Linked DNA regions of Rattus norvegicus. The protein of the gene in region 1 interacts with the protein of each later gene in a pairwise test. Links are inferred from orthologs where the notes say so. Each region holds a gene or a part of one and is shown on either strand. Other genes may lie near its edges.

What was found.
Region 2: the proteins of Spg21 (region 1) and Akirin2 interact in binary tests that used the Homo sapiens proteins (3 or more experiments, as listed by UniProt). The two-hybrid records come from large-scale screens. The link is inferred for Rattus norvegicus from reciprocal best matches to the Homo sapiens genes SPG21 and AKIRIN2.
Region 3: the proteins of Spg21 (region 1) and Efhc2 interact in binary tests that used the Homo sapiens proteins (3 or more experiments, as listed by UniProt). The two-hybrid records come from large-scale screens. The link is inferred for Rattus norvegicus from reciprocal best matches to the Homo sapiens genes SPG21 and EFHC2.

Annotation. Positions count from the first base shown.
Region 1 is NC_086026.1:74,896,629-74,900,274, forward strand, and holds part of Spg21 (maspardin), read left to right. Parts: intron 1-1,203; coding exon 1,204-1,311; intron 1,312-3,646. UniProt on the Homo sapiens protein: May play a role as a negative regulatory factor in CD4-dependent T-cell activation.
Region 2 is NC_086023.1:53,902,921-53,907,366, forward strand, and holds the start of Akirin2 (akirin-2), read left to right. Parts: upstream 1-1,614; 5' UTR 1,615-1,812; coding exon 1,813-2,041; intron 2,042-4,446. UniProt on the Homo sapiens protein: Molecular adapter that acts as a bridge between a variety of multiprotein complexes, and which is involved in embryonic development, immunity, myogenesis and brain development.
Region 3 is NC_086039.1:7,942,232-7,946,557, forward strand, and holds the start of Efhc2 (EF-hand domain-containing family member C2), read left to right. Parts: upstream 1-1,494; 5' UTR 1,495-1,585; coding exon 1,586-1,627; exon of another isoform or gene 1,628-1,686; intron 1,687-4,326. UniProt on the Homo sapiens protein: Microtubule inner protein (MIP) part of the dynein-decorated doublet microtubules (DMTs) in cilia axoneme, which is required for motile cilia beating.

The DNA of each region.
Region 1 (3,646 bases):
CCAATCTGGTCTACAGAGTGAGTTCCAGGACAGCCAGGGCTACACAGAGAAACCCATCTTAAAAAACAAAAACAGGGGTTGGGGATTTGGCTCAGTGGTAGAGCGCTTGCCTAGGAGGCACAAGGTCCTGAGTTCTGTCCCCAGCCCCGGAAAAAAAAAAAAAAAACAAAAAACAAAAAACAAAAAACAAAAAAAAAAACAACTAGTTAATTAATCTAAGAGACTAGAGAGATGACTCAGTAGTTGAGAGCACTGTTTTTGTTCTAGAAGATGTGAGTTTGGTTCTCAGCACCACCTTTGGTGGTAACACCCGCTGTGGGAAATCAATATTCTGGTCACTGAGGGCACCAGCTTATCGGCTGGAGAGATGGTTAAAGGTCTGAACTGCCCTTGCAGAAGACTCAAATTGACTTCTCAGAACCCATGTCAGGCAACTCACAACCACCTGAAATTCTAGCTTCAGGGGATCCATCACCCTCAGCGGGCCTCACAGACACCTGCATTTTAAACATAAAATTAAATTTTATTTAAAAGTTAATTTTTTTGCCTGTCTATGGTACGTATACCCATAGTCTCAGTACTTGGGAGGCTGAAGCAGCAGGGTCTCCCCCTTGAGGCCAACCTAGATATACAGCAAAACTGTCTCCAAGAACAAAAGCTTCCATGGCCTCACGCTAGACAGTGCATCTAGAATTGATGGGCATCTGAGAATCTGGCTCCTTTTGGGCGGGGAGAGGTTTTGTCTCTTGAGAGAGGAGGTATGTGGTGGCCTCAGGCTTCACTTCCAGAGTGTTGGGCTGCAGGCGTGTGCCACCATGCCCAGCCAGGATCAGTGTTTACCTGCCCTCCCTCCTGAACCATTCAGGTCAATGTGACAAACAAGTCTGCACTCTGGCATTTCAGAACCCCGGGCAGAAGGTACCTGAGGTCCTACATGCTGACTTGTCACCTTCGTGGCACATAAGTTAGGGTGTACCTGCATTGAACAGGCAGTGAGAAGACCCCATGGCATTTATAGGGCCTGACTTAGGTGCCACAATAGTAAAGGCCACTGCCCAAGAGTCCCCGATCGCAGTCTCTCAGATACATTGTGTTTTCTCATTGGTGGGTTTTCCATCACACATCCCCAACATCACATCCCTCTGTATGCACGGAAATAAAATTCCTGCAAACTCTTACCTGCATCTCTGTCTCTTCCTGCAGCTGGAGAGTTTGGGTCAAAGTGAACTGGCTTCAAGACTAACTCTCAATTGTCAAAATTCCTATGTGGAACCTCATAAAATTCGGGATATCCCTGTCACCATCATGGATGTAAGTTTCTCTTGAAATAATACAGGTACTTGCCATTATAAATATATAGCCAAGATATAATTATTTGGACATTAACCACGCTTCTTCAAATACACCTTGGCCTTTTCAGTTTCACAGTAACCTACTGCTCATCCTGGGTTTTTGCTGACAAGAGTGACAGACACTCTTGTCCTAGGTGCTGGTGAATGCCGTGATCCCAGCACTGCAGAGGCAGAGAGGCAGGAAGATGCTGAAGTTGGAGACAACCTGGTTACATAGCAAGTTCTAGGCTAGCCAGGGGTATAGACTACCTCAGCTCTCCCCCACCAAAAGTTAAAGAATAGAGTCTGGAGAGTTGATGATTCGGTGGTTAAGAGCACTGGCTGTTCTTGCATAGAACCCGGGTTTGTTCCCCAGCACCTCTGTGGTGGTTCATAATCATCGGTAACTCCACTTCCACAGGATCTCATCCTTCCTGGCCTCCTCAGGTATCAGCATATAGGTGGCATGCTGATATTCACACAGGCCAAATACCAACATGTAAATAAAGTCAAATTAAGTAAGCATGGGGGGAGGTGTTTAGGGTGCTGGGAGCAGAACCCATACTTCTCTTGTGCTAGACAGGCACTCTGCCACTCAGCCAGACACCTCCAGCCCTTGGGTTGGAGCATTTTGTTTTTTCACCAACAGGTGCTCTAAAGGTCTAGTGATTTCACATGCACATACCCACACAAAGAAACACACATAATTAAAAATAAATTGTTGGTTTTGTTTAAGATTCATTCTGCAAAGGTGGCTCGCTGGTTATAAAAGAGATTGTTCTTCTACAGACCCTGGGTTCTAGTCCAGTTGCCCACATGGCATGGCAGATCACAACTCTGTGTGTGTGTGTGTGTGTGTGTGTGTGTGTGTGTGTGTGTGTATCTCCTCAAGACAGGGTTTCTCTGTGTAGCCCTGGCTGTCTTGGAACTGGATCTATAGACTGGCCTCAAACTCAGAGATCCACCTGCCTCTGCCTCCCAAGTGCTGGGATTAAAGGTGTGCACCCCCACTGCCCGGCTTCACAATCTTTTTTTTTTTTTTTTTTGGTTCTTTTTTTCGGAGCTGGGGACCGAACCCAGGGCCTTGCACTTCCTAGGTAAGCGCTCTACCACTGAGCTAAATCCCCAGCCCCCACAATCATTTTTAACTATGGTTCAGAAGTTCCGCTGTCCTTTTCTGGCCTGCATGCAGGTGGTACACAGACATACATGCAGGCAAAACACCTCTAAATGAAAACAAAGATTCACTGGCCCCACAATGTGTCTGAATATCATTATCTTAAGGCTGAATGATACTATTACATACATTGTACATCTCCTTGACATCTAGGCTGTTTCCAACCCAGATGTTTGGCTGTTGCGGATGTGTCAGTTAACATGGTGTAAAAGCATCAGAGTCTTCGCTTTTTAGATATTGGGATTTGGACTGCAGAGATAGCTCATTTGTTGAGCAGTTCCTGCTCTGTAGAGGATGCAGGTTCTGTTCCCAGCACCTACATGGCTCCCCACAACTGTCCATAATTCTAGCTCCAGAAAACCCAGTGTCCTCCTCTGGTCTCCTCGGCTACCCACACCCATAGTGGCACACCTGTAATTCTACTTTAAACTTTCTGAGGAATTGACACAGTGTCTTCCAATGGCTGTATCATTTTACATTTCCCCCAATAATACACAGGGTTCTGGTTTACTTAACATTCTGACATTTTGGATTTGAGTCCAGCCTTTAATAGCTGAACCATTTCTCCAGCCCCAGAACCTGCATTAAAACAAACGAACAAACAATAAACACCAGGCATGGGGCGCGTCCCTGTAATACCACCCTTGGAGAGGCGCACACAGGCAGGCTCCTGGTTGGCTGACCTGCCAGTCTAGCCTGCTTTGTGAGTTCCAGGCCATCGAGAGATATCTGAGGTTGACCCCTAGCTTCCACATACACACATATATGCATGCATATACACACAAAATATACATATACTTATCTTTAAAATATTTTCAAAAATTATTTTGTATGCATGCCTCAGAGCATCTGAAAGATGTCCAAAGCCACGTGTGCTCAGCTTCCAGAACACCTCCTCCCAGAAAGAGTCTGAACTTCTGCCTTTAGTCTTTTTTTAAAAAGATTGTTTTACTTTATATGGATGGTTTTGCCTGTGTGTATGTAAGTGCACCATCTGGCCATGGGGCCAGATGAGGGCGTTGATTCCCCTAGAACTAGAGTTACAGGCAGTTGTGGGCTGCCCTGTGGGTGCTGGGACCCTAACCAGAGTCCTCCAGAAGAGCAGCCAGTGCTCTTAGCTCCAAGCCATCTCTCTAGA
Region 2 (4,446 bases), on another chromosome or scaffold:
AAATGGAGTGTGGTGATGGTACAGGCCTGTCATCTTAATCTCAGTTCTCAGAAGGCAGAGGTGGGAGGTTCAGAAGTTCAAGGTCGTCTTTGGCTACACAGAGAGTTTGACATCCGACCTTATCTCGGAAGGAAAAAAAAAAAAGTCAAGAACCTTTCTTATTCTTCTCTTTTACATAAAATATGAACATTCAGTCAGTTTCAGCATAATAACAGATTTCCCAGACTGTTTAGAACTTAGTAAACACTTCCTTAGTACATGTCTTAGTTAAGTGATTGTTTCATAGAATGCTGGTCTTTCTCAAAAGTTACTTTCTAAAAACTATATCCTAAATTAAAATAAGCTGGGCATAGCAGCTTTCACATGTGATCAGAAGGCTGATCTTTGTGATGTTGAACAATTCTAAACCAACAGATATATAGTGAGTTATTGTTCAAAACAGCTATAAAGTAGCTACATATGTTCACTTCTGAGTAAACAGAAAAAGGTGAGCATTAGACATATTAATATTTATAGTCATATGATAGTCATGAAATGTCAGTGGAGAGCTAGCATCCACAAGCAGAAGATATAAAGTGTCTACATAAATTACTTCATCAATGCTGCAATCGATCCTTATTTTAGATATTTGATTAATAAATTTTAGAAACATTTCTTCCTACTTTGCTTATAAAAACAGGTCCTAATTCCTAGGCGTTTGTTTGCCTTTTTCTAGACCCCACCCAGTCTTCCAAACTCAACAAATTTCTGGTGTTGATTACTCTTTGCTCATAGTAAAATTATTGACTTTGTGCTTTGTTCAAATGTTACTCATTTTCAGCTGTGCAGAATTTAATAAGCATAGACAAGTATCTATCTGGGAAGCACAAAGCAGACTTCAAAGATCCTGTAATCTGATATTATTACGGTTGTTCTGTCTGAGGTCCCAAATTGGTGTTTTCATTATTTCCTATCCCCTCCATGTGACAGATTTGGTTTTTGGCGCTCTTGACAGCTAAATTAATCTCTCTCCAACTATTAGATTGGCTCTTTGTTATATCCTGTTTTAAGTCACTATGCTGAACAGGGTCTCTAAATTACTTAGCTTGCTTTCCTACGGGTTCGCTTCCTCATCCCCACTGTCTCAGAGGCTCTCCTTTCTCTTCCTTACATTTTTTTTTTTTTTTAAACTCTTTTACTTATGAGGGGGTATTTAAATTCCAACCCGGAACTTGGGATCGCGCGCCTTGGATGACGGGAGTCGTAGTTTCCGTGACTTCTGGGTAACCGCCTTTCAGGCCCACTCCTGCCCTCAGCGAAACCCCACAAATCCCAGAATGCACTCTGACAGGCCCGCCCCCTGTGCGCAGGCGCCCTGTGGCCGCAGGATTTGAATCGGCGGCGTTGTTATTGACGCCATATTGGGGCCGGCGGCGGGTGGCAGAGTTGGTCCGTGAAGAGAGGGTCGAGTGCATTGCCTAGCTCTGTGCGGCGGAGCTACCACTCCGCTCCCGCAAGTTGCCGCCGCTCACGAGCTTCTGTCTACACCGGCGTGTTGGAGGTCGCGTTTCGGTCGTGCCACTGACCGGGTCCACTTCCGAAGGGAGCCGGTCTCCGCGCAAGAGCCTCAGCGCGCTCAGCCCGAGCGCACGGCGGGGGCGGCCCGGCCTCTCGGGAGCGGCCCCGAGCGGGCGGCGCGACCCTCGCGCCTCGCCCGCCTGCCCTGTCGCGGCTCCTCTGTCCCGGGCCCCACACCTACCGGGCACCTCGGAGGGCCCGTTTGCCCCGGTCCTTCCCGGCCCCGCCCGAGCCGGGCCTCGGCTGCCCGCCGCCATGGCGTGCGGAGCCACTCTGAAAAGGACTCTGGATTTCGACCCACTGCTTAGCCCGGCATCTCCGAAGCGGAGGCGGTGCGCGCCTTTGTCGGCACCGGCTTCGGCTGCCGCCTCCCCTGCCGCCGCTACCGCCGCCGCCGCTGCCTCTGCCGCGGCCGCTTCGCCGCAGAAGTATCTCCGGATGGAGCCTTCCCCCTTCGGCGACGTCTCCTCCCGTCTCACCACAGGTGGGCCTCGGCCCCGGGGCTGCCTGGGTGGGCTGTGGCTGGGCGCTTGGGTGCGGACACAAAGGGAGGGCCTGAACCAAGGTGGGGGTGGTGTCGGCAGGTTGGGTGGGTACGGGTCGGGTTGGTCGGCATTGTGGGGTACTTTATTGTGAGGGAGATCATTTGGGGTAGGATCACTGGAATCGTTTCCTTATGTAGGGACTCAGCGGAAATGATCAGAGAGGGTGATATTATTCATAAGTCGGGCGAGAGAAGGGTCACATTTCACCCGAATCTCCCGGTCTCTTGGGCTGAATCGATTGGTTGCAGCTATTAACTCAGTGACTGAGTGGTTTGAGGCGAGAAGGCAGCCCCTCCTCCATTTTAGACTTGGCTGGTTTTAGTATAGAAGGGGTGGGGTTTGGAGGGGGATGGATGTCACTGGGGCGAGTTGTAGGCCTGTCATTAATCACCCACAAGAACGCCACTTTGGCTGAGTCAAGACCTGTTTCCCTAGCAGGGTCAACAACAAAGCAAATGTTCTTCCCGAGTACTGTAAAGTGATCTCACTATGCGTCTAGTCCTTAAGAAATCTTGAACTTTTAATGAAAAGGAAGGTGTACTTCGAATTGAGACTGACTAGTTAATTTGTAAATTATCCCAACGAAGTATGTTGGGAGAAAACAGCCTAGCCTCGAGAGTAACGAATAAATCAAGATTCCAGTGGACTTCAGACTTGAAGTCTTGAACCATTTTCTGAAAGTGTCTGCCGAGTTGTACCTTTGATTGCTTTTGTACACTAAATGTGTACCTAGGGATTATTTTCCCCTCTGCATTTGGAAATCTTTGTGTGCCACCGGCACAGTTTTTGGGTAGGCTTTGATGGACTTGAAGTGTCTGTTTCCTTTGTGTGTGGCATGCAGTGTATGTGTGCCTGTGTGTGCAAGCCCTTAGTAATATCCTTAAAGCCTTTGATCAGCTTTAGGTTTTTTCTCAGTAACTCATTTTAAAAAGATGGGAACTATAGAGTTCTGTATTTGGTAACATTCATCTGAAACTGACTGTACCATGTGGTTTTTTTTCCTTAATGTCACATTTAAATATTCATATCCAAATCCATGGTGAATCTCAGTTACCTACTCTTGCTATTAAATTTTTGATCTAATGTAGCCTAATGCTGTTTTAAGAATTGCAGTCAGTTTTCATAGGAATTTCAAGAAGTTTATTTAACATCATACGTAAACTGCCCCTCCCCCTAACATATATACACATACATACATACATACATACATACATACATGTGTGTGTGTGTGTGTGTGTGTGTGTGTAAAAAGGTACTGTTAGAGGAAGGCTTAGAGATCTGTGGGTCAGGACTTCTAGGGAAGGACTATCATATTTACATTACTATTTATAACAGTAGCAAAATTATGGTTGGGGGGGTCACCACAACATGAAGTACTGTGTTAAAGGGTGGGCTCATCAGGAGGGTTGAGAACCCACTTCTTTAGACATTACTGAAAAACAAGGGAACAAAGTGAAGAATGAATTCCTTGGGGCAGACATTTTTGTCTTTAATGAAATGCTCTTTGAACATTGAAATGGTGTCCGATCTACTAATGAGGCCATTTCAAAATAGCTGTAACTAGCAATAAATTTCAGTGGAGTTAGTGTTAGGTTTGAGAGTTACAATATATCCCTATGCAATTAAAATCTTGAACACTAAAACAGCAGGGAGCTTTGACACCTTCCTTTTCTTAAAGGGAACTTGTTAAGAAACTGTAATGATCATCTTCCAATCTGTTGTGTCAGTGCTGTATCTGTAGAGTGGTTAATATTCTTCACTTCTCTCGGATCTCAATTAGTAAAATAATTAGGATTGTTGTTAGTCTTTTAGCCAGCTGACACAGTTTGATCACATCTTGGAACCTAAAATCACATGCTAATTGATATTTTTAGAATTTGCTAAATATTAAATTGGCATTTCAGTTAATTTGAATATTAATGTAGAAGATTAGCTTCTTGAAAAATGAGGGAAAGTTGCTAAAGTTTGAATTTGCTAAAATGTACACATATTTACTACGCCATTTTTAATGACGTAGTAAATGTGTGGTTGAACCTTTTTAGGCTAAACCTGAAGACCTGGAAGTTTATGCAGAGTATGTCCTTCTTGGTGTTCTGTTTCAGGTACTTCCGGTTCTCCCCTGCTGGTGTCCTTGAAGTCTTCAGTGGCACGCTAGTAGTTTCAAGAACTTGGGCACTGTTCTAAATGCTGTTATTTTAGACATTCCAGGAAAGTGATTCCAAATGTTGATATGACTGCTCTTATTTAAGTCAATATTTTTCAAACTTGCAACTTAATACTAGAGAAGAGGGCTAGTTGAAGGAAGTCTAGCTTGCTTTCTTACTTACCCTGGAGACTTGAAACT
Region 3 (4,326 bases), on another chromosome or scaffold:
CTGGGAGACAAGTCAAAATACACATTCTCTAAACAAAATAAAGATGGACAATTCTGTCTGTGAAGAATTTTCACACATTTAACAGAAATTCAAGTAACTGTATGACTACAATGTAGGAGGAGGAAGGCACAAGTAGTGTGTATTGTGCTTAATGCAGACAGAGGAGGGGTACCAGGGAGCTGAGGGAACATTCATTTCCCAGTAATTACAAAGCCTTCTGTACCTCCCTTTCACACTAAACCAATTCCTGGAATAAGAAGAGGTTACCTTGTTGAAGCATGGAAAGGCAGGCATGTTTCTAGAAGACAGAGTGATTTTCAAAACCCCAGTCTTGCCTGGTGGAAACAGGTAGAGGTTTCTTGAAGCTGGAACAGAGGAGGGGAGGGTCAAAGCAGTAGCCACTAGAGATGAAAAGTGTTCCTTTGGCAAGGGCTCCATGCCTGGCTAAGGAGTTTGATGGCCTGCAGGGGAGGGGAAGGCAGCTTCTTGAAGTAGAGAGTAACAACTGCAGTTTGAATTTCACTCTGTAAGCATGATCTGTTGTCGCTGCCTCCACTTCTAAGGAAGAGAGTAGGGCAAGCCATAATTGGGGGTAGGGGTCTCAACAAAAATAGCAGAGGGATTGATAAATATACTAAGGTGTCCAACCAGCAGGGCTGTGGGGCAGTTAACTGTAGGCTTTCTTTCTAGATGTCTGCGTGGCTAGTGGAGCAGTCTTGGTATTTTATTTGTTTGTTTTGGTTTTTTGACATAACCTCACAGTGATGCCCAGGTTGGCTTGGAAAGGAGGCATTCCTCTTACTTGTGCCTCCAGGGTGCTAGGATTACAGGCACGAGGCACGGTGCTTGGTTAGAGTTTTTATGCGGCCAATCCTACTCCTGGACACTGCTGATGGACCTTAGATTTTCCACACTTAGGCCATATATGAAATGATCAGAAGAAGGATTGAAGTCCATGTTTACCCTTGGAATGGGTTTCCCTGTAGGGGGTGAGTGGTTTTAGATTCATCTCAAACGTTTGAATTAAAAAAAAAAAAAACAGGCTGGTGAAAATGCAACACAGCTCTGTAAACTCACAAGCGTCAGATTTCTGTACGTTTCAGGGCATTTTAACTACACTTAATAACAAAATGGCAAAACAATGCTGTGTCAAGATTTCGTGAGCTGAAGGTCACAGGAGGATATGAGCTCTTAAAAAAACGAGTGAAAGCAGAAAACAGCATAAGTGAAAACTGAGCACTCACTGTAAGTGCGAGCGCGGAAAACCAGTGGGGTCAGAACAAAGCTGCTTCCCGCTGGTGGGCGGACAGGAAAGGAAGATCATAATGCTGTGCGGAGGGGAAGGGAGGAGCCCTGTGGGCTTGGCCCCGCCCCCACCTCCACTCTGTCTACCCCTTACCCCCTCCCAGGCCTTGGCTCCGCCCTAAGACCCCTACCCTTTCCCCGCCTATCTTAGCCCCTCCTCCCTCCATGACGCTACCTCCGGTCTCCAGGTAACGCGGGGGGTCAAACAAGCGGCGGTTGAGGGCATTAACTATCTTCTCTCTCTGGTCGGACCCTTGATCCTCTTCGGACTGTGACAGCCATGGCTCTACCGCTTCTGCCTGGCAACAGCTTTAACCGCAATGTGAGTAGGCAGGAAGCCCAAGGTCTTGGTCAGATCCTGGGAGTCAGACAGAATCTGGGAGTGTTCATCTCCTTAGGTCCTACCTGCTAGGTAGTTCCTGCCATTTATTCCTGTGTGCTGAGTACACCTAAAACTTCATGTTCCCTCACCCCTTTCCTTCGAAGTGCATCTGAATGCTTTTCCTACATGACATCTAAGTATAGGAAGTTGGGCCATCCAAAGTAGTTGGTGACAGTGATGATAAAAAGAAGCACTAAGTGTTTAATGTATGTGCGGTGCCGTGCTTTAATCGCTCTGGGTATTCTCCATAGCTGTTTGGATTATATCTTTTTGTTCCCGTTTACATCTTGAGGAAACTGAGGTCTTCGAGGTGATGCTAGTTTTCTTTCAGGCAGCTGGTCTTTATAATCCATGAGTCTAATTATTATCTTTAGTACACTGTGTGTAAAAGAATAAACTTTGCTACTAAATAGAAGAAACCCGGAAAGAAGCATGGCAGATAGGGAAGCCTTCTATTGGCCTATAAAGTTTAGTGCCACACAATGGAAATGGGCACCTAAGCACAAAACCAAGAGATCACAATCCCTAGAACAACAAAGAATTCTGCAATAAGTAGCCACATACCTAACAGGAGGAAAACTAGTCAAGCTTTTGTTTTCTAGGGGTTACTGTCTTTTGCATGGGTTTGCTAATGTCTTTAGGAGAAGTTAATATAAATCGATGAAAAGGACTTCATGTGGAGTCAGTCACTCAAGGTGTTTGTAAACTTCAGCTCAAAGTTTGCAAAACACTCAGTGCACTGAATTGACAGATTCTGAACAGTGTCTGTATCTGAGTTGATGGCCCTAAAGGGCCAGTATTGTTGTAGATGTTCTATTTGAGGTTGATTTTTAACCCCTCACATCAGCTAGTCTGTTAAACTTTGAACAGTGGCTTGCACATTTTGTTTCTTGGCTGATGTAAGTTAGAGGCTGGCCTCTGAAGTGTAGCATTGTTCTTTGGAAAGATTAAATCAGCCAAATAAGAAAGGCTCCAAAAAAGAGGGCATGAAAAAAGATTCCAGAAATAAAGAAGCATGCTGTGCAAAAGTAATTTTAATAAAAAATGTAAGCAGAGTCTACAGCTTTTGGCTCAGCTACGCTTCTGATTACTGATGCCCACTGCCTGCAGAAGTATCTCAGCTCTCACACGCAGTGATTAAGGGTGGGTAGAGAAAAAGAGTGTTTGGATGAGATATTTTAAAATCAGCAGCATAGTACTGAGTGTTCTTTGCTTTTTATAAAACTTATTTTATTGGGAAGAATAACACATGCAGAAAAATGCGCAGTAGATGATCACAAAAGGAACATCAAGAAATAGAGTACTACCACTACTCTAAAAGCAGCCCTCTTGATTATACGTGCAATTTGTAGTAGTTAAAAATAAATGTTCTGAATATTACCTGGGACCTATTATTACTAAAATATTACTTGTTGCTTCAGATTCAAATTTAACTGAGCAGCTTGTGTTTTATGTGGAACTCTATGCCCCTTCCCACACCCTGTTAACCCATACACCATTCTCCAAATGGAACCACTATTTTCCCTTTTGTCACTATTGTTAGATTTGGCTTCTTTGGAACCTTTTATATGGGGAAATATCCTGTGCTTTTTGTTCTGTGACTTTTTTGGTTCAGCATTGTATTTGTTAGATTTGTCCATGTGGATAATATGTCATTGTATGAATATATCATACATATATGTGTGTGTGTGTGTGCATATATCCTTCTGTTTATTTTATCTATTTATTTTATTCTTGATAGCTCTTTGGAGCTTTTACAAATATTCTTGCTATGATTCTCTTGTTCACTTCTTTTGGTGTGATTGCTTGATTGGATGGCACTGATACTGAAAGCATTAGTGAACCCTGAAAAGTCATAATTCTCATTGCCATCAGCATTTTTTTACTTATGTGTTTTTATTTCCAAATGCCTATAGTGTTTAGTCTTTTAAATTTTACATATTTTGGTCAGTGGTTGCACTGCAATTTGCAATCTTAAAGATTTATTTTGAATTTTTTAAACTTACTTACCTGTGTGCTTGCCGCATGTGTTCATGTGTATGTAGAAGGCAGAAGAGGGCATCAGACACCTTGGAGCTGGAGTTACAAGGGAATTGTGAATTGTTGAGGATTCTGGGAACCAAACTCATCCCCTGGAGAGCAGCAAACACTCTTAACCCCTTTGTGGTTTTAATATGCATTTCCCTGACTTCCTAGTAAACTTGAACATTCATTTTTACACACCTTTAATCCCTGCACCCAGAGGCAGAGACAGAGGCAAGTGGATCTTTGTGAGTTTGAGTCCAGCCTGGTCTACATAATGAGTTTGAGGACAGCCAGGGCTATAGAGAGACCCTGCTAAAATAAAGTATCAAAATTGTCATTTCTTTTGTGTAGTGGGCACACTTGACTTTCATACAAATCCACAAACTGGCCATATGGCTTATATATATTTAACTTGATAAGAAAGTAACCCCCTGTCATGAGACAGGGTCTCATGTATCTAGTCTGGCCTCAGTTGGAACTCATATTTGGCCAAGGATAACCTTGAACTCACGATCCTCCTGTCTCGATTTTCTTAGTACTTTGAGAAGCCTGTGTTTGGTGGCCTGTTTTGCATTGGCAACAACAATGAATTTATGTTATGCTGAGCATTTGGT